7 linked regions of the Macaca mulatta genome follow. The protein of the gene in region 1 interacts with the protein of each later gene in a pairwise test. Links are inferred from orthologs where the notes say so. Each region holds a gene or a part of one and is shown in the gene's direction. Other genes may lie near its edges. The genes, in order: CEP70, ZNF302, SUV39H2, SYTL5, ABT1, TSGA10IP and NKAPD1.

Region 1 (3,500 bases):
CTTCTACATCTCCACAACTGGGCAATGTAAAGAACCTAGGAGACTCTTATATTTTTCAGAGCTTACTTGATAGACTGTGCTACAACCATCCTGTCACTGCTTAGGAGACCAGAACATCTTTTCTTCTTAGCTTTGTAATACTCTTTTATTCTGAAGCAAAAATGTATTAGATTGGGTGTGCTTTTTACCATAGATTACTTTATAAATGTGCCTTGTTGCTGGAGCATTGGTTAATAAAGATATCATTATGCTGTTATTTGCTGACTTTTTTTTTTTTTCAAATTCTAGTGGCACTGATGGTAAAACATTCATTTAACATGAAATTTATTGCTATGAATTACTATAATAGTAACTGCCTTCCTACCAATTGAAAGGTTAAAGATACCAATATGTGAAGTCTGAGCCTTAAGTGGAGAATGCCAAGTGAAGTACTAAAATAAGTTAGAAAAAGAAGGAACTTCTTGTACTTCTTTCTGTTCTCTAGAGCTATGCTATCTAGTATGGTAGCCTCTAGCTGCATGTGGTTATTGATCACTTGAAAGGTGGCTAGTCCTGATTGAGATGCGTTATAAGTGTAAAATATACACTGGATTTAAAAGACTTTGTATGGAAAAAATTAAAATATTGCTTTTATATTGAAATGATAATATTTTGGATATATTGGGTTAAATAAAATATACTATTACAGTTAATATCACATGTTTCTTTTCACTTTCCATACTATGGCCCTAGACAACTTAAAATTCCTGTGGCTCACATTACATTTCTTTTGAACAGCATTGTTCTGAAGGACCAAGCACTGTGCCATACACATATGGATTGAGTATCCCTTATCCACAATGCTTGGGCCTAGAAGTGTTTTAAGAATTTTTTCAGACTTTGGAGTATTTGCAGAATATATGCCATTTGAGCATCCCTGATCCAAAAATCCGAAATTCAAAACGCTCGAATGAGCATTTCTTTTGAGTGTCATGTTGTTGCTCAAAGTTTCAGATTTTAGAGCATTTCAGATTTTTAGATTAGGGATTCTCAACCTGTAGTAGATGTTCAGTAAATATTTGTCAGTTGATCAGTTTAGAGCTCTAAACTTTCAGTAGCCTTGCCCATTGTGCACAGTTTAAAATCAATTAGGGCACCACAACTAGGCCAAGAAAACTGAGTATTATAATGTAGAATAAATTTGGGGAACCTTTCACATTGAAAACTTGCCTAGAGATACATGTTATAACATGGATAAATCTCAAAAACATTATGCTAAGTGAGAGAAGCCATTCATCAAAGACTACTTATTGTATAATTCCATTTATGCAAAATGCCCAGAATAGGCAAATCCTTAGAAATATAATGTAGTTTAGAGATCAACCCTAGGAACTGCAGGGAAGGGAAAATGGGGAAGGAGGGACTGTGACTGGGTCTGAGATTTCTTTTTGGAGTAATGGATATGTTCTGAAATTAGATAGTGCTGATGTTTGTACATGTGTGAAAATATTAAAACTACTGAATTGTATACTTAATGAGGGTAAATTTTATGGTATATGAATTACATCTCAATAAAGCTGTTATATAACATACTCAAAACCAAAATACAAAGGCAAGTTTATTCTTTGTGTATCAATAATTCAAAATAATGAAATAATATGGAACAATAATAAATAACATAAAATTACTTAGAGCACCCAGATTCAGAATAATCAGTGTATAATGTTTTCTGTAAAGCCTGTGTTTACCTGGAGAAACCTAATTTTAACTGACTTGTTCTAAATTGGTAATAGTGTTTTTATTAAACAATACTGATGGTTATATATATATAATTTAACCTGTGTAATTTTTTATTAATTTTATAAAACATATATAAAACTTATAATTTTGTTATGTTCTATTATGTTACTATTGAAATTATTTAAATCAATAATACCATATAGTTTCTTTTGTTATAAAGGATTTGTATAAGTCCTTGAAAACACTATCTGCAGAACTGGTACCTTGGCATAATTTGAAGAAGCAGGATGAAAATGAAGGTATCAAAGTTGAAGATTTGTTGTTTATAGTAGATACTATGTTGGAAGAAGTTGAAAATAAGGAAAAGGTAATACTTACATAAATGGTCACATTCTAATGTTCTCTTATCTCAAAAATTGATAATTTGATGTGGATATTAATATTTGTTCTACTAGAGTTCTGTTTGTCTTTTAAAAGTTTTTATTTGGGATTATTTTAAGATATGAACTCTTTATTTTTTACCTCTCTTTTGGACAGGACAGCAATATGCCAAACTTTCAAACTTTGCAAGCTATTGTCTCTCACTTCCAAAAGTTATTTGATGTGCCTTCTTTAAATGGAGTCTATCCCCGAATGAATGAAGTTTATACTAGGCTTGGAGAAATGAACAATGCTGTGAGAAACCTCCAAGAACTCTTAGAATTAGGTGATGACCTAGTTTGTCATTTTTGGCCCCCATTTAAGAATTTTTAGTAAATTAACAAAAAGTAGATAATTTTTTTTTTTTTTTTTTTTTTTTTTTTTTGATACGGAGTTTCACTCTTTTTGCCCAGGCTGGAGTGCAATGGCATAATCTCGGCTCACCGCAACCTCCGCCTCCCGGGTTCAAGCGATTCTCCTGCCTCAGCCTCCCGAGTAGCTAGGATTACAGGCACATGCCACCATGCCTGGCTAATTTTGTATTTTTAGTAGAGACGGGGTTTCTCCGTGTTGGTCAGGCTGGTCTTGAACTCCCGACCTCAGGTGATCCACCCATCTCAGCCTCGCAAAGTGCTGGGATTACAGGCGTGAGCCACCGCACCTGGCCGATAAAAAAATTTTTAAGTGAAAAAAATTGAGGATAACTGAAGCATAAAATGTTTGATGTATGTAATTTTGAAAATTCTCTGTTAAAATAGCCTTTTATTTCTCTTTTGCAGATAGTTCATCTTCATTGTGTGTGCTGGTAAGCACTGTTGGAAAACTCTGTAGGCTGATTAATGAAGATGTGAATGAGCAGATTATGCAGGTATTAGGACCTGAAGACCTCCAGAGGTATTTGTTTTAAAAGTTTACAAAGTATCATCCAGAATGGCCGGGCGTGGTGGCACACGCCTGTAGTCCCAGCGACTTGGGAGGCTGATGTGGGAGGATCACTTGAGCCCAGGAGTTTAAGTCCAGTCTGAGCAATGCAGTGAGACCCTGTCTCTAAACAATAAAAATAAAAATAAATATTATCCAGAATTCATGGAGGGGTGAAATTAAAGACTTTTAAAACTTATTTACCTTCCCTGTTTGGAATAGCATCTTTTCTGTGTGTATGTGACTATAGGCACACACCACCACGCCCAGCTAATTTGTGTGTGTGTGTGTGTGTGTGTGTGTATAGAGAGAGAGAGACAAGGTTGCACCATGTTGCCCAGACCAGTCTCAAACTCCTGGGCTCAAGTGATCCACCTGCCTTGGCCTCCCAAAGTGCTGGGATTACAGGTGTGAGCTACCGTGCCCAGCCTTGGAATAGC
Region 2 (2,893 bases), on another chromosome or scaffold:
CATAGTGGAGAGAAACCTTACAAATGTGTTGAATGTGGGAAGGCCTTTAGCCATGGCTCATCACTTACTAACCATCAGAGCACTCACACTGGAGAGAAACCATACGAATGTATGAACTGTGGAAAGTCTTTTAGTCGTGTGTCCCTTCTCATTCAGCATCTAAGAATTCATACGCAAGAAAAACGCTATGAGTGTCGTATATGTGGAAAGGCCTTCATTCATAGTTCATCTCTCATTCATCATCAGAAAAGCCATACTGGAGAGAAACCTTATGAATGTAGAGAATGTGGGAAAGCTTTCTGCTGTAGCTCACACCTTACTCAACATCAAAGAATTCACAGTATAAAGAAAAAGTTTGAATGCAACAAATGTCTCAAAGTCTTTAGTAGCCTGTCATTTCTTGTTCAACATCAGAGTATTCATACTGAAGAAAATCCTTTTGAAGTTTAGAAATGCAGGAAATCCTTCAACCAGCTTGAATCACTGAATATGCATTTGAGAAATCACATTAGATTGAAACCCTATGAATGCAGTATATGTGGGAAAACCTTCAGTCATAGGTCATCCCTGCTTCAACATCACAGAATTCATACTGGAGAGAAACCTTATGAATGTATTAAATGTAGGAAGACCTTCAGCTGTAGTTCAAACCTTATTGAACTGCATCAATAAATTTCACTATAATCAGTTCATACAGAGTTTATACATCAGAATTCATACTGGAGAAAAGCCATATAAATGTAATGAGTGTGGAAAAGCTTTTAGCAAAGGCTCAAATCTTACTGCCCATCAAAGAGTACATAATGGAGAGAAACCCAGTAATATGGTAAGTGTGGAAAAGCCTTTAGATCATATGAATCACTGTACATGTGAGAAATCTTACAGAAGAGAAACTATTTGAAGCAGTGTTTATCATGGTAAACTTCATAGATCCTCCCTTATTTAACATCAGAAAAAATTTATACTGGGGAAAAGTTGTATGAATGTGGTGAATATGGGAGACTTTTAGCAATGATGCAGACATTTTTATTTATCAGAGTTTATACTGTAGAGAAATCATATGAAGTCAATAAATGTGGGAAAGCCTTTGTCAGTATTAATCCCTTAATTGACATAAGTATACTCACACTAGGAAAAAACTGTGTACATGTAGCAAATGTGGGAAAGACTATAGGCGATAGGAATCTCGTACAAACTCCTACAGGAAAAAAGTTGTATGAATGTGGAAAATTTAGAAATTGAAGGAATTCTTCAGTTCCAAGTGCATTCCTTATTCTACAGGAAATAAACTGGAGAGAAATCTCATCATATAAGAGATGTAGCAAAGTGTTCACTAAGAGTGTTTATCTTGCTAGACATCAGAAGATGAATGGTAGAGCAACCTGAAGGATTTAGAAATTACATGTAAATCTGCAGTGGTGCTATTTGTAAACAGGATTCTATAGGAGAGCAAATAAACATAATTAAGTATGCCTTTCTTAGAGCAGTAGCTTGCAGTTTCAGTTGGGTTCTACTTAGAAATTCTTTTTAGCTAGTGGGCATGTGAAGATATTTAGTCACCCAGAGGAGCCAGTAAATATTATAATGTTAAAAATTAAAGCTGCAAAAGAAATAAAATGGTGTTAATAAAAGTTTGGTATCTAATAAGATCATTTTGTATATCATGAAGTCTTTCTCTGTGACTGTTTCTGGCAAAAAAAATTCACTAAGATTAGCCTTAGTATAGTCTTTAGTGGGAGACTAGCAAACTTCGAGAAAAATGGCCTGCTCTTTATACTAAGAATAGCAGTATTTTGGTGAGGATTATTCAGAGTCCATTTCCAGTAGGCTTAATTAAATACATTTCAAAATTTACTGAGCATCACTCATGTGTATTACACAGGGATGGGATATAGGAATCTAGTAGTTCTGAGCTGTAGTGGTGTGTCAAAATCACTGGAAGGACTTGTTAAAGCACAGATTGCTAAGCCTCAATCCTAGAATTCTTGTATGAGTTGATTTGAATTTGCATTTTTCACACATTCTTAGGGGCCACTAACACTGTCCAGAATATAATTATAATGTTATGATGTCACTGACAACATATTATTTTCTCAGTCATACCTATTAACCATTCCTTGAGTATCTTCTGTGGACCTAATAGATAAGCACTTCATACTCTTTAAGAGCTCCGAGGTGTGTGTGTGTGTGTGTGTGTGTGTGTGTGTGTGTGTGTGAAGAGCGTTAAGCTTTGGAGTCTTGTTACCTGGGTTTAAATCCAAGTTGCATGTATACTGGCTTTGTGTGACCTTGGACCAACTTCTTCACTGTGTCATGCCTCAGTTTCTCCATCTGTAAAATGGTAATAAAGCTATTTCACAGCATTGTGAAAATTAAATGAGTTAATTGATGCACAATGTTTACAACAATGGCCTCTCAATAGCGTTCAATAAGTATTAGCTATTGATTTTATCTTCATCATATCCTCATGGTTGCTTCATCATTCTGGTCTCAGATGTCACATCTAATCACTTGTTGCTCTTATCTGTTTACTGTTTCACATTTTTGGGGGAGAGCTCTTACAAAACACCCCCGTTTCCTTCCAACAAATCCTTTAGTATCTGAGCCATTTTGAGGGAATGTTTCTTGCCTAAAATAACCTGAGGAGAAACAAAGAGACCAGGTAGGAGATAAGATGAGAATTCAACAAGTCTGTGAGAAGGAAGGAGGGTGCCCTACAGAGTTGGGAAATGGGCTGAGTGAAGGAGGCATCAGGCTTCCACATGGAGGAAAGGGGAGGTTTTACCCACTGAGACCAGAACACTACAGGTCTTCAGCAGCATCTGTGAGTACAGCGTCCCATGGACTAGGTGCCACTGCCTTCACTCTTCTGAATTGAAGTTACAGCCTGTCA
Region 3 (4,042 bases), on another chromosome or scaffold:
TATATCAAGGTAGTGAGATGCTCATCGTAGAAAATGATTAAATATGTAAAAACGAGAAGTTAAAATCACTTCGAAAGGCTGTATTTCGTTATTTTCCTATACATTTTTTTCCTAGTTAAAACTATATTTCAGGGGGATTTGTTTTGTTTTTGCTTAACACTAAAAGCTTCATGAACATCTTTTTAAGACGGCTAGACAGTATTTCATAATGGAATCAAATAACCAGTCCTTTAATGGTCTGCGTTTAAGTCCTTAGTAGACATCAAATGGCTTTCTGCCAGTTTTCGTTATTTGCTCTAAGATTTCTGCTTTAGGTTGTTTAAAACAGTCATATGGATGCGGCGTCAAGAATGGCTGGGGGGAGGGGGTGGAGACCAGGTGGGAGGCCCCCGGAGTCGCCCTGCAGCCTCCTTACCAACAAGTCCTCTTCCTCCCGGCCCCCACCCGTCAGCAGGCCGAGCTCAGGAGCTTGTCAACAACACGGGAGGGGGGCTCGGGTCTCCTTACAGACCTACCCAGTCCCAATTTACATTAAAAGTTGAGCCCAGGAGGTCGAGACTGCAGTGAGCCGTAATCGCGCCACTGCACTTGAGCTTGGTGACAGAGTGAGACCCCATCTCTCAAAAAATTCCAAGTCCGCACCTCCCCCCCACGACGATTCGTAAACCCCTTTTAAGTGTGAGAAGCACTGATGGAGACTGGCGGTTTCAGCTGTGCCGCACATTAGGATCAGCTGGGAGCTGGGCAGCACAGGCCACACCCCACACCAACCAGTCGGAATCCCGGCGACTGCACCAAGCCAGCGGAACCTCTCCAGCCGTGCCCATGTGCGGCCGCTTCCGAGGCCCGGTGCTCTAGGGAAGTGGGGTCGGGGGGAGCCTAACCATGGCCCGCCGAGCTGCGGTGGCTGCGGAACCGGACCCGAAAGGCACCGTCCCTGGCCGACGTCCTCCCGAGTGAATGCGCCAAACGGGCCTGGCGCAGGGTATGGGCGCCGGACACCGCAGAGCATCCCAAAGCACGCGCGCGCGCTCGCTCCGCCCCGCTCGGCTCCTCGCTTTTGGGGCCGGGCCTACCCTTGGGGCGCAGGCGCGCTGACCGCCGCGGCGGGGGGTCGGCCGCCAGTGACGTCAGGACGCCGTGCGGGTTCCATCCCCCCTACAAGCCCCGGCCCCCAAGTCCCGCGCGGGCCGGCCAGGGGCGGGGCGTCGGGCCAGCTGAGCTATCCCGTCAGACCGCGCCAGTTTGAATGAAAGCTCCACAAGATGGCGGCGGTCGGGGCCGAGGCGCGAGGAGGTGAGGCTGGAGCGCGGCCCCCTCGCCCTCCCCGTTCCCAGGCAAGCTCCCAAGGCCCGGGCGGCGGGGCCGTCCCGCGGGCCAGCCAGACGGCGACGTGGCGGTTCCCCGGCCGCCGCGCCCCCGACTCCGGGACGCACGCTGCGGGCGCCTACCCTCCCCCAGGCCGCTGACCCGCCTCCCTGCCCGGCCGGCTCCCGCCGCGGAGGTGGGCACTGCGCGAGCCTGGGGCGCTTCGGCTGCGGAGCGTGGCCTCTCCGCCCGCTCGGCCCGGCCCCCTTGGCGTCTCCCGTGGTGGCTTCGGGGGTCGGGGCCGCTCCCCGGCGGTCCCCGGCTGGAGGTCCCGGGGGCCCGGCTGCGACTGGCTCCTTTGTGGTGGTTCGAGCGCGGCGTGCGGCATGCGCCCGGGCCTTTGAAGTGGGAGGCGGGAAGCGACGCCCGCCGGCGTGAACATGACCTTAATATCAGAGGGGGAGAGGAAATCGGGGCTCCTGTGTGCTAAGGGGATAACCGAGGAACCCCCCCCCCACAAGGCGGACACGCTAGGAGGTTGAGTGCCTCGTTGGAGAGTCGCCCAGAAAGTGGGTATTTGAGGTTGCAGCCTCTGGCTTACGGTAACTCTTCCACCCACCGGGAGCTTGGTGTTATTTCTGTGGACGCTGGGGAATTGGGCACCGAGCGTGCGTGGGTGTGGGCGTCGGGGGGTGTTGGTGTCGCGCACGCTTTGAGAGCCTGGAACTTTTCCGTGCGTTCTGGAATGTAAAGGTGTTTTCAAGCTCGCCTCCTCTCCACTTGGATTATGACCTCATTATCCCCGAGTTTTTCTTCCTTGGAGAATGTCAGGGGTTACTGTGAACTAAGCTAGCGGAAGGTGTTTGTGGTGGTCATGAACTATTTAATTTTGTCAGTGAAATATTTTTCTACATTACTGGAGACTTGAGAGATTGTCGTTTTGCTTTTTTTTAACCACGTGTTTGCAGTTTTTCATGTTCACTTTTTTTTTTCCTTTAAATTCTCGAAGAGCATTTCCTTTGCGGGTTGTGTTTTGAATCCTCAACTAGATAAAAATGTTTAGGAAAAGCACACAAACACACCTTGGGTAGATACTCAAGAGGAACCACCTTTATACGTGATCCCCTTAGTGAGGTCAGCTTAACACAAAACGTCCTCTAGTTTTTTTAGATGGAAGGGACTTACGGGGTCATTTCTCTCCTATCACTGTCCTACCCCCAAACGACCACTCCAAAGCAATCGGCCTCTTCCCCCACGTTTTCTGGAGGAAAATACCTTTCTCTTTACTGCTTTAGGATGGAGTCGTTTGCAGCCAGTGAGATGGTGGAAATTATGCTTAAGGGTTTCTGACAATGAAGTAGTCTCTGTGTGAGGTGGGGAGGATGAGGAAAGGGTGCAGGAAAAGTTATTGCTGCTAACAAGTGTTCTCCCTTTCCTGAAATTACCTCAAAACATAAAAGGTGATCGCAACTACCTTGGAGAGCTACCAAGTAAAGCTTGAGTTTACTGATAGATTTTGTTTGGTAACACCAGTTTTCTCCATTTTTTTCCAGTGAATGTGACAGCCAGACAGATTGAGACCTCACTAAAGTCACATAGCTCGGTGGCTGAGCGATGGGTAGGGCAGAGGACTTTTGATCCTGTCTAGTGCTTACCATGACACTAGCGCTAACACCAAGTTTGTTCCATTTTCCTAAACGTGTTTGTTAATTTACACTTTAAATTCAGTGTGGTAACATGCTACTTACAGAAATTTGAGGGTCAAATCTTCTGGAACACAATTAGTTTCTGGCTTCTGGAGGGTTGATGATAAGTATGTCTAATTTTCTTTGAGTTTAGTACATGGCTTATGTAAATTGAACACCGTTTTAAAAGTTTGGCTTTAAAAACAATACAGTCAATAAGTATTACAAAATATCAATATACTCTCCATTTTTTTAATAACTCGAGTTTATTCACCTTGGTGATAATATATTGCAGTATGGGTAAAATAATAAGTGGAATTAAAGCTTCATGCAACATTTCAAAGAGAAAACTAACATATGAGTTTGTAACGTAGAAATATATTTTTATTAGATTTCAGTTTTGTCCAGTTAAAAAAAAATGAGTTATGTGTTAACGAATTATAATGTTGTTTTAAAGTATATTTTAGATGTGTTTTTAAGAATAAGTGTCCTAGAGATTTACATTTTATTAAAATAGTGATTATAGTCTATGTAGAATACAATGAAAGTAAGAAACACTACCTCTGTTGACCTGCATCTGCATATAATTTTTAAAAAGCTTACAGACATGAAACATTTTCGAGTGACTTAATGGAAATCAACTGATGTCAGTTAAACATAGTGGAGTAGAAATCCATGAGAAAATCCAAGAACACCAATTTAACGAAATAGTTCCTTAATGTTTAACTTTTTCTTGAAGACGCATAATTGGTTTCTTGTCATAGGAATTTTTAGTCTAAAATTGCCAGTTGAAAGTTGGGGAATAGAGGGTTTTTCTCTTTTTTATTTTAATTGAATAGCTATTTCATTAGTAAAGAATTCTATTTTCTTATTGTAGCTTGGTGTGTGCCTTGCCTAGTTTCACTTGATACTCTTCAGGAATTATGTAGAAAAGAAAAGCTCACATGTAAATCGATTGGAATCACCAAAAGGAATCTAAACAATTATGAGGTGGAATACTTGTGTGACTACAAGGTAGTAAAGGTAAGGCAAATGTCTAGCCCCTTACA
Region 4 (3,500 bases), on another chromosome or scaffold:
AAGTGACTGAATGTATCTTCTTTATTGTAAAGTCATTTGTTTGTAGCACTTTTCATTTTTGTTCCATGTACTAATTCCATATGTACGTATGTCTTCTTTTCTAAAGTATGCTCCCTGAAGGGGGAAAACAGCCATTTTTATCACATACCTAGAGCCTCATACAGTGTTTTGACCATAGTCGAGAAAACCTAGGATACAGGTGTTTTATTTGAAGAGATTTCAGGAAACGCCAGTGAGGAAGTGGAGAAAATGAGACAAGGAAGAAAGAGAAGTTGATTAAAACATATATTAATGGGCAGGTTACCACTGTGGGCAACTGCAACTTGATTCCATTGGGGAAGCAGTGAGGAACTCTGTGGAATATACCTTAGGATTGTCACTTCGAGGGACAGGGAAGCTGGGGAATTATCCACCAATTTCTCAAACTCATCAGTTAAAGGTTGCCCCAGGGGCATTAAATTCCAAGTAATCCCAGAGTTTCCTGCACATGAGCTGAGCCAGCTAACACAATATCAGATAAATTCCTTAATTAGAGGAATTTATTCCTTGTGTCAAAAGACACAAGCACTTGAGGTAGGAAGCTGAAAGCATATCAGGAACTTCCCATCCTGCTGCAAGTCAGCTCCAAGGAGGGCCAAAAAGATGTGAAGCAGGTGGCCGGGCGCGGTGGCTCAAGCCTGTAATCCCAGCACTTTGGGAGGCCGAGACGGGCGGATCACGAGGTCAGGAGATCGAGACCATCCTGGCTAACACAATGAAACCCCGTCTCCACTAAAAATACAAAAAAATTAGCCGGGCGTGGTGGCGGCGCCTGTAGTCCCAGCTACTCGGGAGGCAGAGGCAGGAGAATGGCGGGAACCGGGGAGGCGGAGCTTGCAGTGAGCCGAGATCGCGCCACTGCACTCCAGCCTGGGCGACAGAGCGAGACTCCGCCTCAAAAAAAAAAAAAAAAAAAAGATGTGAAGCAGGGCATACAATAGTGTCTATTGCAGGAGGTATTTTCTTTTCAAGATGGAAGGAAGTACGAAAATAGGATTAGAAAGGAGAATGAGGGCATTAAAGTCATTCCACTATATAAATCCAGATTTAAGCATATAGAAGCCTGGGAAGAAAAATCAGATAGACACATCACACTTGCGTGCACATTGACATTTTCTGTCTGCTGTCTTACTGATGGTTTGATTGTTTTTCCTCCTGCAGCTACCTGCTCCCTGATGATAGCAAAGCCACCAAGCACAAAACTCTGGTAATAAAAAAGAGTGTTAACCCTCAGTGGAATCATACATTCATGTTCAGTGGCATCCATCCCCAGGATATAAAGAATGTTTGCCTAGAACTTACCATCTGGGACAAGGAGGCCTTTTCCAGCAACATTTTTCTGGGAGGAGTTCGTTTGAATTCTGGAAGTGGTGAGGGATTTGGGGACCCACAGGGATGGTCTGTGACTGGGTCCGTTTGGGGGCACTATTCTTGCAGGTGTGATGTGCAGTGGATATACATACGTAGTTTCAGCTAAATCCTGAAATTACCACAAATGCTTCATTCCTTTAGCTAAGGATCTATTCATTGTTAAAATACAAATATAACTACAGTACCTTTGTATCCTTAGGCTAGAAGATTGGAAGATATAATGTTGACATTCAGTCCTTTCATAGACTAACATTTACACTTTAGTCTAAGTGAATTTTAAGTACTTTCTTGGACCTTGCTTCAGATTTTGCTCAGAAGATGATTACCAAGACAGCACAGCCTTCTGATAGGAGGACAGCGACTTTCAAGACCAACATTACTTCATCATCTTCTCAGTTCTGTCCAGCACTTGCAGCTATTATTCATACTGGTTGAATTGAAAAGAAATCATTTTTTCATAAAAATAACACCAATGTTGTTAAAAACAGATCAAGGAAACCCACCACTGGTGCCACAAGACACAACTGTAACAGGGTGAATTGGAAAAGGGATTACAGTAGTAGAGCACGTGCAGTCCCCCTAACTCTCATTATCCCATAGCCTAAGCCAGACATAGATGAGACCATCTGCATACACCATGGTAAATATTTCTGTTGAGGAAGGTCCTATCACTATGATAATTACTTATTTATAGATTAAGGGGAGCCAAGAATATCTATACCACTAAAAGGAAAACTCCCCAGGTCAGAAAAGTGTCCTTGTTAGAAAAAGAGAGTCAAATTCATCCCGTTCTTCTGTCATGTTAGCACAGTCCAGATGAACCAGCTCTCTGCTAAAGTAGGGAGGAAGTGAGTCACCAGGGCCACCCTGATTTGCCTCATATGGCCTAGGCATTAGAGAATAGTGCAGGCTGCAAATGATTGATTCAATTCTAACACCACTCACTATATATACTAAGTGAGAACAAGCCAGTAAAAGGTACTCTGGTCAAAAGGCCCCCTCAGAAGTTGATAGATGCCTTGCAGGAGAGAAAAACATTTCATGTGTGACATATAATGTTCCCATTTCGTTTCTTCAGGTGTGAGCCATGGGAAGAACGTGGATTGGATGGACTCTCAGGGGGAAGAGCAGCGCCTTTGGCAGAAGATGGCCAACAACCCTGGAACTCCTTTTGAGGGTGTACTCATGCTTCGTTCCAGCATGGGAAAGTGTAGACTCTAGAGGGACCAGTTCTCCAAGAATGAGGCCACCAGGGCCTATCTGGCTGTCTTTTCCTACCAGTAGCAAACTGAGACCTGGGATTCTGCTTCCCTGCCATTTCTCATCTGACAGTATCGGGACATGAAGGGAGAGATGTCAGTAGTATGAACATTTAGGGTCTTGTTGAGTGCCTAAAAAACATATATTTTCTTCCAATCAGGGCCTTCTTGATTGGATGATAGAAAGTGTACTACTCTGTCCTGTCAACGAGCAAATTGTGCAAAGGTTTATAGGGTTTATACCATAAAAGAAATGGCACAAGCTCATTTGAAACGACAATTGAGATTGGGGTCCTCCATTTGCTAATTATAAGTTACTTTAGATTTTCTCAAATCCTTTGAAGAGAAAGGGGACCACTGAGAAGGTAGATCACTTGAAAAGTTAGAAGAAATGATACTGGCCAACTGTTGCTCACCCTAGGAATCCACATGCTCTCAAGAAGGCATTGTGGGGATGGTTGCTTGAGCAAGGGGGTTGTCCTGTTATTGCAGCAAACTTGTGTATTAACCAAGTAGTATTTCAAGATGGACTGACAGGGCTTTCTATGATTACTATATAATTTATCATCTAAATCAGTTTATTTTTGAGAACAAAGAGACCTAAATAACTACATCAGAACAATTGATGTTGATTAGAATTGACCTGGGAAAATTGGGATGTAGGGTTACCCTACTGATGACCTAAGAGAGCTCTGTTGTAAACATTTATTTTATAAAATGTTCTAAGCCATTAACTAAAGGGGAATGAGAAATAATGGTCAATTGATGTACCTTTTCACATTGTGTTCATTGATGAGACTAGTTTAATGAAAAAGGAGGTACTCTACCTGC
Region 5 (3,814 bases), on another chromosome or scaffold:
CCGGGCTGCTTCCAGAAAGCTAATCGGATTATTTGTACTCGGTTCCCAGCAATATCCTTTGCAGTCAGCTTGTCGCTGGCGCGGATCGCAAGAACTGAAACGCCTTAAGGGTGGGGACGGCGCCCCCTGCTGGTCGCGCCCTCGGGCGACGGTAAGAGATTGAGGACTCGAGCCCGCGCGGGGAAAACGGCTATGGGCTTGGCTTAGGGATGGTTCGCAGGTCGCCTGGTAGGAGCAGGACCGCCGGGGCCTTGTCCGTTCTGTGGTTACGTAGGTCATAGAAGGAAAATTGGTTTGTGATCTGATGGGGAATCTGTGAGGACAGACCCAGGGAGGGCAGAACTAAGCGCACCGCCGGGGGGGTCGCCAGAATTGGAGGCGTGTGCGCCTCTGACAAGTATTTGCAACGTAAGTATGCATATGGATAATGTATCAATACACATGTGTAATAGATGCCAAACAAATTATTCAAATAATTGTCACACATTTAAATTTTCAGACATTCACAAAATCAAATGTAAAATATTAAACTGAAAGTTCGCAATTTAAATTTTCAAAAATTAAATCTAATTTCCAAAATTAACCGTTTTCAAAATTAAATTTTAAAATATTCAAAATTCCAAGGTAAATTTCCAGAAATAATTAAAACTTCAAAACTCAAATCTTTTAAATGAAATGTATAAACTTTAAAAGGTGAGTCATTCCTCAGCTGGAATCGCAACCAGGGCCCTCGAATAAAATGCTATTTTGATCGCTAGAACACACAGAAACTTCCCTAAAACTGCTCTACAAAATTCCCTAAAAACCCGGCATCAACCCGCCTTTAGCGGCGTTCTATAGGGTAGGTTGTATCTGGGGATCTGCCTTTTCTGGTTCTGCCTGTCCTGAGTTGGAGATGTAACAGGGAATCTGTGAACCTAAAACAAGCTTCCTATCCCGCTTCCACGCTCTAAATCTGGCTTTCCACCTGACACCCCACTTCCGCCCTCTCCCCTCGGCCTTCCCCTTGACCCGACTGCATCGCCAATCATATCCTTTCATTTGTCATCACCGCCTTGGCCCCGCCCCCTCGTCTCAGGCCGTCGCACACGTTTTGCGTCAGTAGGCAAGGCACTTTACGGCCGTCGTGCCGCTCATGTCAGTCAACATGGAGGCAGAGGAATCGGAGAAGGCCGCAACGGAGCACGAGCCGCTGAAAGGGACAGAACAGACACTAGACGCGGAGGAGGAGCAGGAGGAATCCGAAGCAGCGGCCTGTGGCCGCAATAAGCGGGTAGTGCCAGGTATTGTGTACCTGGGCCATATCCCGCCGCGCTTCCGTCCTCTGCACGTCCGTAACCTTCTCAGCGCCTATGGCGAGGTCGGACGCGTCTTCTTTCAGGCTGAGGGTAAGTATGCAGACCCTGACGGTGAAAGGAGGAGGTTGTCGCTCGCTGGCGGGGTGCAAGCATGGATGTCCTGTTGCTTCGCTGCGCAAGACTGAGGCACGAGTTGTTGGATTTTGGGGGTGGGGAGTGCGGTGCTCGGCTCCTGGCTGGTGAATCAGTCTGTGAGGATGCTGGGGTGGGTGGGCGGAGGGGATATGGGGAGAGTGGGTAGCGCAGTGCGTCTGGTGGTTCTTTAGTTCTCGGATTGTTACTATTCGTGTTTTTATCCCGGCCCTGCTCACCTCTCTTTCCGGATCTGTTTACTGGTTTGTTACATGAGTACAACAGAGTAAAAGCCTCGTTAGCTTTTCTACAAAACTGAACATACCCCTTTAGCATCGCGGCCTAGGTCAAGAAACTGATCAACCGCCCTTCCTCTTTCCACCGTCAATTTTACATTGAGGTTGGGGACTTGCGCGGGTGTTAAATAGCGTTCAAAGCCGGCCAGATTAAGGAGTGGACAATTAAGGAAATAATTGAGTTAGCTAGAGGAAAGGGTGCAATTTACAGTTCCCTCCCTCCTGGGCAAAAACTCTCAGGTGGAACTCCCGCTGGCAGATGTGAAGAACGATGCGGGCAATGGGAAGTGGTTTTGAGTGAGTGCTGCATAGTCCCTGACGGGTCTTTTTGTCTTTGGCGCTCAGATCGGTTCGTGAGACGCAAGAAGAAAGCAGCAGCAGCTGCGGGAGGAAAAAAGCGGTCCTACAGCAAGGACTACACCGAGGGATGGGTGGAGTTCCGTGACAAGCGCATAGCCAAGCGCGTGGCGGCCAGTCTACACAACACGCCTATGGGTGCCCGCAGGCGCAGCCCCTTCCGTTATGATCTTTGGAACCTCAAGGTGAGGAGATAGATCTTTCTGCCACACCTCTCACCCTCCCTTCTCCCCAGCTCTGGCCCAGGTATACCCATGGCTTCTCATTGGTCTTGTCCCCTGTCTCATCTTTCTCCCTAATCTGCACTATCCTGATCTTTTCTTATTTTCTGCCCACAGTACTTGCACCGTTTCACCTGGTCCCACCTCAGTGAGCACCTTGCCTTTGAGCGCCAGGTGCGCAGGCAGCGCCTGAGAGCGGAGGTTGCTCAGGCCAAGCGTGAGACCGACTTCTATCTTCAAAGTGTGGAACGGGGACAACGCTTTCTTGCGGCCGATGGGGACCCTGCTCGCCCAGATGGCTCCTGGACATTTGCGCAACGTCCTACTGAGCAGGAACTGAGGGCCCGGAAAGCAGCACGGCCAGGGGGTCGTGAACGGGCTCGCCTGGCGACTGCCCAGGACAAGGCCCGCTCCAACAAAGGGCTCCTGGCCAGGATCTTTGGAGCCCCACCACCCTCAGAGAGCATGGAGGGACCTTCCCTTGTCAGGGACTCCTGAGGGCCAGGGTGGCCCCTTCCAGCTCCTAGCCCTGCTCTGCTTCCTGTCTACCTCATACTAGAATGATCGTGACTATCCAGGCAAACATTTTACTGTGTTTCTCAGACCAGGTGTCTCTGCTAAGGGCCCAAACGTGCAAGTTTTGAGGGCTTCCACTATCCTCACTCCGAACTCCTGTATATGCCTGGCTGAGTCACCTAGTTCATACTGTCATACTAGCATGATTATGACTATTGCATATGCTTGTTTTGTTTGACTCTTGGCTGCCTACGTCTATAGGGTCCCCTAAAAATCCCACGTTCTGCCCCCAGGAACGGGCCTTTATTTCCAACTAGGGGGATAATGCCTGCAATAATCCCGGCAATCTTTCTCTGTTTAGCAGTCACAGGTGAGGGTGGTATTAGCATCTTTTTTATGTAGAAAAAATTGACAGTTAATGGCGTGGACTGAGTTGGGAAGAAATACATTTCCTAATGTATTTATAGAAAATAAAAATATTTTTTATGCCTTTTTATTTTTGTTGGGGAGGGTCATTGGACAAGTTCCAGCTTTCATCTCCTTGTGTTCACCTTCATCTCCTGATCTTAGAGCCCCCCCGCCCCCGCCACCCACCTTACTGTTTAACCTGGATTTTTTTTTTATTTAATTTCTATTATCTTAGCCCAGTTTATCAATTAGTTATCTTAAGTCAGCATTTTCTAAGCCATTGTTTGAGGAAACAATGACAATAGGTAATAACACATCTTAGTATTAAGAGTTTTACAGGCCACTAGTATAAGATAGGCATCGTGGTAGATGCATATACGGGGTGGAATGGGGGCCACAGCATGTCATAGAGCCCCTCTCAAGGGGGACGTGATTGATGATCACAGTCTTCAGTGGTGAGTCAGTCCTCACCAAGTTTTCCAGGTCATTCCTACAAAATAACTGTAAGAATAATAAAGAAGAAGTTTGAAAGAGTCTGGAGTGCTCCCACAATTGCAAACAATGCTTCCTGGGTGGAGTGTTGAGT
Region 6 (2,838 bases), on another chromosome or scaffold:
GGGTTTTCAAATCCGTGTCTTTTTCTCAATGGAGGAGGGTTCCCTCCCTGGCTGGCACAGGGCCAAGGGGCATGGCCCAGCAAGGCTGTGTTTTTCCACAGGGCCCAGCACACTCGCTGAGGTCCCAGCACAGGTCTTGGGGTCTTGTCTGTGTCTCCCCTCCCTTCCTGTCCATGGGTGCTGCCTCCACACCTCAAGGCCTCTCTTAATGTGCTTCACAGATGGATGCCTGGTCCCATGTGGGCTGTGGCCCAAAGGCCCTTCTTGCTGCTAGGGTGCTCTCTTCAGGAGTGGCAGTGACACTCAAGTCTGTCAAGCAGACACATTTATGACAAGTGCACAAACTGGGTTTTGGGTTTTTTGAGACAGGGTCTCCGCTCTGTTGCCCAGGCTGGAGTGCGGTGGCACAATCTCAGCTCTCTGTAGCCTAGACCTCCCAGGCTCAAGCGATCCTCCCACCTTGGCCTCCCAACTAGCTAGGACTACAGGGGCACACCACCACGCCTGGCTGATTTTTGTAGAGACAGGATTTCACCATGTTGCCCAGGCTGGTCTCAAACTCTTGGGCTCAAGTGATCCACCCTCTTTGGCCTTCCAAAGCGCTGGCATGGCAGGTGCGAGCTGCCACGCCTGGCCATGCTGGGTTTTTAGAAATGAAAACTGTGCTTCCCCAGTGGAACCCTGATCTCTCCAGGGTGTGTTTTTTAAATTTGAAATATATATATATTTTTTAGTTTCTCTGTCCCATTTTCCAAGCTGTCTGCTTATAAGAACCAGAGAGAATGCTGGCAAGCTTGTCCGATCCCTGCTATATAGCACAGTGAAATAAACTGAGCCCAGAGCCAAGAGCCCAGAGAGAGGCCTCGCCCAAAGTCACACAACCAACAACCACAGCTCCCCCTCAAGGGGAAGAGGATGGGGAGGGAAGGCTATGTAAGCAGGTGTCTGGAAGCTCAGAAGCTAGCACTGGTCCCTTTCCCGTGGGGGTGGCACAGGAAGATTGGCAAGCCCCAGCTACACAGGGCTCGGCCCCTCACTTCCTAGCTGCACAACTTTGAACAAGTCCCTCAACCCTCCTGAGCCATCAGTAAACTGGGTGAATAATTTCCACCCTGGCTGACTTCACAAGCAATCCAGGCCAGAATGGGAATGAAATAGCTTTGTAAAGGTGAGGGTGAGGACGTGAATATCAAATCTTTAGTGAAGATGAGCCGGCTCAGGAGTGGAGATCAACAGTTGTGTCCATGGTTAGCTGCACAAAGGCCTGTCTCCCCTGCAGGCGCCAGGAGCGACAACGCTTTGCTGAGTACCAAGCGGAGCTGCAAGGCATCCAGCACAGGGTGCAGGCCCGGCCCTTCCTGTTCCAGCAGGCCATGCAGGTGAGGCTGCCCCCTGTGAAGAACTGGCTGAGTGGGTCAGGGAAGCAGGATGCGAGTAGGTCCCTGCAGATAGGATCCCAGGGCTGCTGCCCTCTGGAATCCCTGGGACTCCCTCAGTAAGCAGAGCCCCACCTCGCCCTTGGCAGCCCTGGTGCAGAGCGAGAAGCCCTCTTCTCTCTCCTCAGGCCAATGCCCGGCTCACTGTCACTCGGCGCTTCTCCCAGGTGCTGTCAGCACTGGGGCTGGATGAAGAGCAGCTGCTGTCCGAGGCAGGAAAGGTGGACAGAGAAGGCACCCCCAGGAAACCCAGGTGAGTCTCCCCAGCAGGTCAAGAACTGGCCCTGCCATGCTGCTGTGGGAAGGGCGCCCACACCAGCACTCTGGGCTCTGGAGGGCCTCCCCCAGGACTGGCAGAGAGCCCGAGGAAGGCAAGGCCAGGGTTGTCATTCCTACTTCTCAACGAGGAAACTAAGGACCTGAGGGGCAGGGCCATGTTTAAGGACACAGGAGCGAACAAGCAGCAGAGCCAGTCTGGGACTCTGCAACCACATGAGCAGCCACACACCAAGCTCTCATTAGGGGCTGGCACCACCACGCTGGTCACCCCATGTCTTAGAATAACCTGGTACAGAGCAGGGATTATGAGGCCCACTTGGCAATAAGGAAAGTGAGACTCGAGAAGAGTCACTTTGCTCAGGATCACACAGCAAGCCAGTACAGGAGCAGGGTTTGAAGCCACATTGTCAGTGGTTTCCTTGGGCATGGGGGTGAGAACTGCAGAGCCAGGGGCCTCTATCTGTGTCTTGAAGGAGCCACAGGTCAATGGGGGTGAGAATGGAGCACTCTCCTCAGAGGCCCCCAAGGACAGAACCCACCGGCAGCCAGCCTGACAGGCACTACAAGCCCAGCCTGGACCCGGAGTGCAGTTTCTGAGATAAAATTAAAGGCTTTATGGTAAACACAGTGTGGGATTTCTGCTGGTGGGGGTGGTGGAGGCTACGGGTTGGAAGTGGGAGGTGGCAGGTGGGCGGGCAGCTCTGTCCCCGCACTCCCTCCCCTCCAGGAGCTCTGGCTCTTTTGGTTCCCTCCACCCAGCACACACAGCCCCTTCTCTGCTCCTGAGGAGTGGGGACATCTCAAAGAGCAAGAGCTGTAACTTCTCCACCCCATCTTCAATGTATATGTTGGGTCCTATAAATTCAAGCGTCAATAAGACGGAATGACTCCTGCCTCTGAGGATGCCCAGTGAGTGGGAGAGGGCGTGGGCCCTTAAACGGGTGCATACATATCCCAACCCACGCTCACATCCCAACACACGCTTATATCCTAACACATACTCATATCCCAACACACGCTCACATCCTAACACATGTTGAGTTGTGCAAGGCAGGGAGCCACAGACTGAGCAACCCTTGGGTGAGGGGAGGGGTTTCAGGACCGATTGGGATTGTGCGCACTG
Region 7 (4,224 bases), on another chromosome or scaffold:
TCCATGACTGATGAGTGGTGAATAATTTTCTTAAGCCTGTGGAAAGACATGACTTTGGGAAGAAAACTGTCTGTGTAATTTTTTTTTTTTTTTTTTTTTTTTTTTGAGACGGAGTCCCGCTCTGCCGCCCAGGCTGGAGTGCAGTGGCCGGATCTCAGCTCACTGCAAGCTCCGCCTCCCGGGTTTATGCCATTCTCCTGCCTCAGCCTCCCAAGTAGCTGGGACTACAGGCGCCCACCACCTCGCCCGGCTAGTTTTTTGTATTTTTCAGTAGAGACGGGGTTTCCCCGTGTTAGCCAGGATGGTCTGGATCTCCTGACCTTGTGATCCGCCCGTCTCGGCCTCCCAAAGTGCTGGGATTACAGGCTTGAGCCACCACGCCCGGCCCTGTGTAATTGTTGATTCATTTCTGCTTTGGGGAGGCGGAATGGGCCAGGAATTGTTTTGGTGAAGTTAGGACTTAGCATTTGTGTCTAAAAGATTGTGGATCAGCAGCACCACTTTATGTTTTCGTTATTCTTTAATTATCTAGTACCTCTTCCTAAATTCTCACATTGTCCTCTCAGATAAGACTTTACTTCTACTTGGACCCTGACAAGTCAGAGCAATCATTTTAAATCTGGGTTTCCTGATCTTCTTGTTCCAACACCTCACTGACTGGTGGCTCCCCAGTTCTGAAATTGCCAGAGGTGTGTATGGGGTGAGGGCCACATGAGACTTCCTTAATCCTCATTATAGTTTAGTAATTCAAAGCATGGACTTGCGAGCCAGAATGCCTAGATTCCGGTCTTAGTTCTATCTCTCACTAGCTGTATGACCTTGAGCAATTAATGTGTGTGTGTGTGTATATATATATATATACACACATACACATACATATACATATATATATATATATTCCTCTTACTCTGTTCAAAATGAAGACGATAATACCTATATTATCATAGGGTTATTGCGAGGATTAAGGAAGCTAATAGAGAGGCTGGGACACTTCTCTACGTCTTCAGATAACTCTCCTTAGCCTCTTCTCCCATTGGAGAGGTGTCCCACAGCATCTTTAGAATGAGGCAAAAAGGTTTAGATTCTTCAACTACTGTGTAAGGGTTACGCTAAATGGGAAGCTTAACTAACGGGTAATCATTCCATAGGTCTGCAAACAGCATCTTTAGAATGAGGCAAAAAGGTTTAGATTCTTCAACTACTGTGTAAGGGTTACGCTAAATGGGAAGCTTAACTAACGGGTAATCATTCCATAGGTCTGCAAACCCACCTCTTCTCTGTTCTAACGGGTAGTCATTCTATAGGCTGGCAAACCCACCTCTTCTCTCAGCTCCTTGACAAACCGCGACGCCTGTTACCAGGGTAACCAGCCTGGGTACAACATCTAATTGGGTCCGGGGAGTTTCAGGCTGAAAAGTCTCCTCATATCTAGTTCCGGAATGTCCCCCTTCTGGTACCAGGCTTGCTTTTCAGTTGGGCCCGATCCACTTCTCTTCCAGGAAAGCGCCCGCCTCCCTTCTGCACCCGTCAACCTCTGGAGTGTCCTGAAAACCCTCCCTTCTGGGAGTCTCTGGGCTGCCTGTTGGTGGGACTATTTCTCAGGAGCACCACTTCCGGCCTGAGAAGGAAGTCTCTTCCTTTTTCTCCCAAACCGCTTCTTCCCCCCTACCCCCCGCCACGCGAGGCAGCGGCGCACGGTATGGGTGTGTTTGTGTGTATTTGTGTGGGGAGGGCGTTTGGAGGGGAGGTTACCGGGAGCTCCGAGGCCGCTGGGGGACAGGGATCCCGGTGACAAAGATGGGGATATTTCCTCTGTCTTCCACTTGGAAACCTCAACCCCCGCTTCAGGCTCCCTAGATACTTCCTGGGGCCCAACCGAAGGCCATAGCCATCCAAAGCGTTCCCATCCTTTCTGGGGAGTGAAACTTACCCCCGGGGTTCGTCCCAGAGGAGCGTGAGGGGGGAATGCCCGGGTCAACCGGGCTGTCCGAATTCCGCGCCGGCTCAGTCTCCGGCCTCAGTCCGCGAGAGAGATCTGCCTGTCGATCTGGGCTGGGGGAAAGGCGGCAGTGGCCTGGGCCACAGGTGAGGGCAGATTAACCAGTGGGAAGGCTGCGTTTTCACGAAGGACTCGGGTGAAGCTGCAGAGCTGCCTTTGAGCCCTGACTCCTTGGCTTCCTGGGTCGGAGGAGATCTTGTAATGGAGTGGTTCTTCGTCTCACTAACAAGATGCCTGATTTCCTCAGGATCAAGGGGTGAGTGAGCGTTGGGGTGGTTGCACAAAGCCCGTGCTAGCTACACAAGAAAATATTCTTGTCATCTAGTTTTTGGAAGCTTCCGTACCAAGTAGGAAATAAAATGCTCCCAAATGGAGAAGTTTAGGACATCTTTGCATTTGATGTTTTGAGTCATCAGTTTCTGTTACTGTTGACACCTGTGGTTCCTGATACTCTCAAATCTACGTATTTGCTTCACTGCAAACTAATATTGGGATTGGAGGTTTGATTTTTAATCTAGACATTGATATACATCATTTGCCTGGGACTATGTGGCTTGGGGCATGACAAGTTTAAGGGAACTTCATCTACAAAATAGGGATGGAGATATTTGCCTCATATAAAAAATAGTTATGAGGATTAAATAAAATGGTGCTCATGAAAGCACTTAATTTTATGCAGTCTTGTGCATTTTCAAAGAACTTTAATGTACATTATCTCCTTTCATCTCACATTAGTGTGTTTAGGCATTTCCCTCTTTTAATGGTAAAGGGAAAACTATTATTTAGGATCTCTGACTTCTAGTTCAGTGATCTTTCCTTTACCTCATGCTTCTTTATAAAATTTAAGAAAAGATAAAGTAATAAAATAAATTATTACTAAACGTTATTTGTTGATTCATTTCAGATTGAAGAATGTCCCGGATTCCACTGGGGAAAGTTCTCCTGAGGAATGTCATCCGGCACACAGATGCTCACAATAAGGTGGGAGGTACAACCTAGTTACTCCTCAGTGCTTACTGAAAGTAAGCAGTGTGCCAAGCATTATTTTGGCACAACTGGGAGATACAAAGAATATTCTTGTCATCTAGTCTTTGAAAGCTTTTGTACAAAGTAGGAAATAAAATGATGAATACAATAGATAATTATAATACAGTTTGATATGTACTGTATAACAGAGATATTTGCAAAGCGCTTTGGAGCACTAAGGAGGAAATAATAAAATCTACCCCGGGGAATTAGAAAAGATTTTACAGAATTAGTGGTATTTGAGCTGCTGACATTTAAACTGGTTCTTGAATAAGTATAAGCTTACTAGGTATGAAAGATCATTCTGGATAGAGAGCATCATGCATTAATATGGCAACAAAAAAGAGCATTAATCACTCAGGGCATGGCAAGAAATTTTCCAGAAAGCGGGGAATGAAGGGATAGGCGCAGAAGATAAGGCCTCAGTGGTCATTAGAGTTGGATTGTGATGTTTGGAACTGAGACTTTTTCCTCTAGGCAGTAAAGAAGCCATCAAATGTTTTTAAACAGGATGTGACATGATCATAGTTATATTTTAGAAAGATGGTTTGTCAGATGGGTGGGGAATGAATCAGATGGGGAGAAACAGTAGGGAGATTAATTAGGAGGCAATTGCAGTATTACAGGTGAGAGGTGATGAGGGTTCGCGTGAAATTAGTGACAGCAGGGATAAAGAAGAGGAATTTAGGAGATAGAGTCCAAAGAACTTGGTGGCTAATTAGATGATAATGATAAGAATGGAATCTAATTCAGTTGACCCTTGAACAATGCAGGGGTTAGGGGCATCAACCCCCTGAATAGTCGAAAATCCATGTATAACTTTTTACTCCCTCAAAACTTAAGTGCCAATAGCCTGCTACTGACTGAAAGCCATAGCAATACCATAAACAGTGGATTAACACATATTTTTTATGTTACATGTATTATATACTGTATTCTTATAGTAAAGTAGCTAGAGAAAAGAACATTTTATTAAGAAAATCACATTGAGTAGGCTGAGGAGGAAGAAGAGGGGCTTGTTTTGCTATCTCACAGGTGGCAGAGGTGGAAGCAAATCTGAGGATAAGTGGACCTGCACAGTTGAGATCCCTGTTGTTCAAGGTCAACTGTGTAACCACCTATGTGACTGGGTGGGTGATGATGATTCTGTTAATTGGGTTAAAGAACAAAAAAGGGGACAATTATGATAGGAAAGGTAA

Evidence for each region.
Region 2: the proteins of CEP70 (region 1) and ZNF302 interact in binary tests that used the Homo sapiens proteins (3 or more experiments, as listed by UniProt). The two-hybrid records come from large-scale screens. The link is inferred for Macaca mulatta from reciprocal best matches to the Homo sapiens genes CEP70 and ZNF302.
Region 3: the proteins of CEP70 (region 1) and SUV39H2 interact in a two-hybrid assay, tested with the Homo sapiens proteins (2 studies listed by BioGRID and IntAct). The link is inferred for Macaca mulatta from reciprocal best matches to the Homo sapiens genes CEP70 and SUV39H2.
Region 4: the proteins of CEP70 (region 1) and SYTL5 interact in binary tests that used the Homo sapiens proteins (3 or more experiments, as listed by UniProt). The two-hybrid records come from large-scale screens. The link is inferred for Macaca mulatta from reciprocal best matches to the Homo sapiens genes CEP70 and SYTL5.
Region 5: the proteins of CEP70 (region 1) and ABT1 interact in a two-hybrid assay, tested with the Homo sapiens proteins (2 studies listed by BioGRID and IntAct). The two-hybrid records come from large-scale screens. The link is inferred for Macaca mulatta from reciprocal best matches to the Homo sapiens genes CEP70 and ABT1.
Region 6: the proteins of CEP70 (region 1) and TSGA10IP interact in binary tests that used the Homo sapiens proteins (3 or more experiments, as listed by UniProt). The two-hybrid records come from large-scale screens. The link is inferred for Macaca mulatta from reciprocal best matches to the Homo sapiens genes CEP70 and TSGA10IP.
Region 7: the proteins of CEP70 (region 1) and NKAPD1 interact in binary tests that used the Homo sapiens proteins (3 or more experiments, as listed by UniProt). The two-hybrid records come from large-scale screens. The link is inferred for Macaca mulatta from reciprocal best matches to the Homo sapiens genes CEP70 and NKAPD1.

Annotation. Positions count from the first base shown.
Region 1 is NC_133407.1:41,502,804-41,506,303, reverse strand, and holds part of CEP70 (centrosomal protein of 70 kDa), read left to right. Parts: intron 1-1,939; coding exon 1,940-2,086; intron 2,087-2,256; coding exon 2,257-2,425; intron 2,426-2,918; coding exon 2,919-3,033; intron 3,034-3,500.
Region 2 is NC_133424.1:45,961,454-45,964,346, forward strand, and holds the end of ZNF302 (zinc finger protein 302), read left to right. Parts: coding exon 1-450; 3' UTR 451-2,393; downstream 2,394-2,893. UniProt on the Homo sapiens protein: May be involved in transcriptional regulation.
Region 3 is NC_133414.1:16,433,201-16,437,242, forward strand, and holds the start of SUV39H2 (histone-lysine N-methyltransferase SUV39H2), read left to right. Parts: upstream 1-1,242; 5' UTR 1,243-1,265; coding exon 1,266-1,296; exon of another isoform or gene 1,297-1,877; intron 1,878-3,870; coding exon 3,871-4,016; intron 4,017-4,042. UniProt on the Homo sapiens protein: Histone methyltransferase that specifically trimethylates 'Lys-9' of histone H3 using monomethylated H3 'Lys-9' as substrate.
Region 4 is NC_133426.1:37,962,794-37,966,293, forward strand, and holds part of SYTL5 (synaptotagmin-like protein 5), read left to right. Parts: intron 1-1,200; coding exon 1,201-1,409; intron 1,410-2,488; coding exon 2,489-2,631; 3' UTR 2,632-3,500. UniProt on the Homo sapiens protein: May act as Rab effector protein and play a role in vesicle trafficking. Binds phospholipids.
Region 5 is NC_133409.1:156,468,554-156,472,367, reverse strand, and holds ABT1 (activator of basal transcription 1), read left to right. Parts: upstream 1-1,140; 5' UTR 1,141-1,147; coding exon 1,148-1,388; intron 1,389-2,071; coding exon 2,072-2,268; intron 2,269-2,421; coding exon 2,422-2,802; 3' UTR 2,803-3,314; downstream 3,315-3,814.
Region 6 is NC_133419.1:8,459,784-8,462,621, reverse strand, and holds the end of TSGA10IP (testis-specific protein 10-interacting protein), read left to right. Parts: intron 1-1,279; coding exon 1,280-1,379; intron 1,380-1,525; coding exon 1,526-1,689; intron 1,690-2,188; coding exon 2,189-2,312; 3' UTR 2,313-2,338; downstream 2,339-2,838.
Region 7 is NC_133419.1:112,827,625-112,831,848, forward strand, and holds the start of NKAPD1 (uncharacterized protein NKAPD1), read left to right. Parts: upstream 1-1,424; 5' UTR 1,425-1,697; exon of another isoform or gene 1,698-2,255; intron 2,256-2,903; 5' UTR 2,904-2,911; coding exon 2,912-2,980; intron 2,981-4,224. Other genes in the region: PIH1D2 (PIH1 domain-containing protein 2), read right to left, coding at 1-5.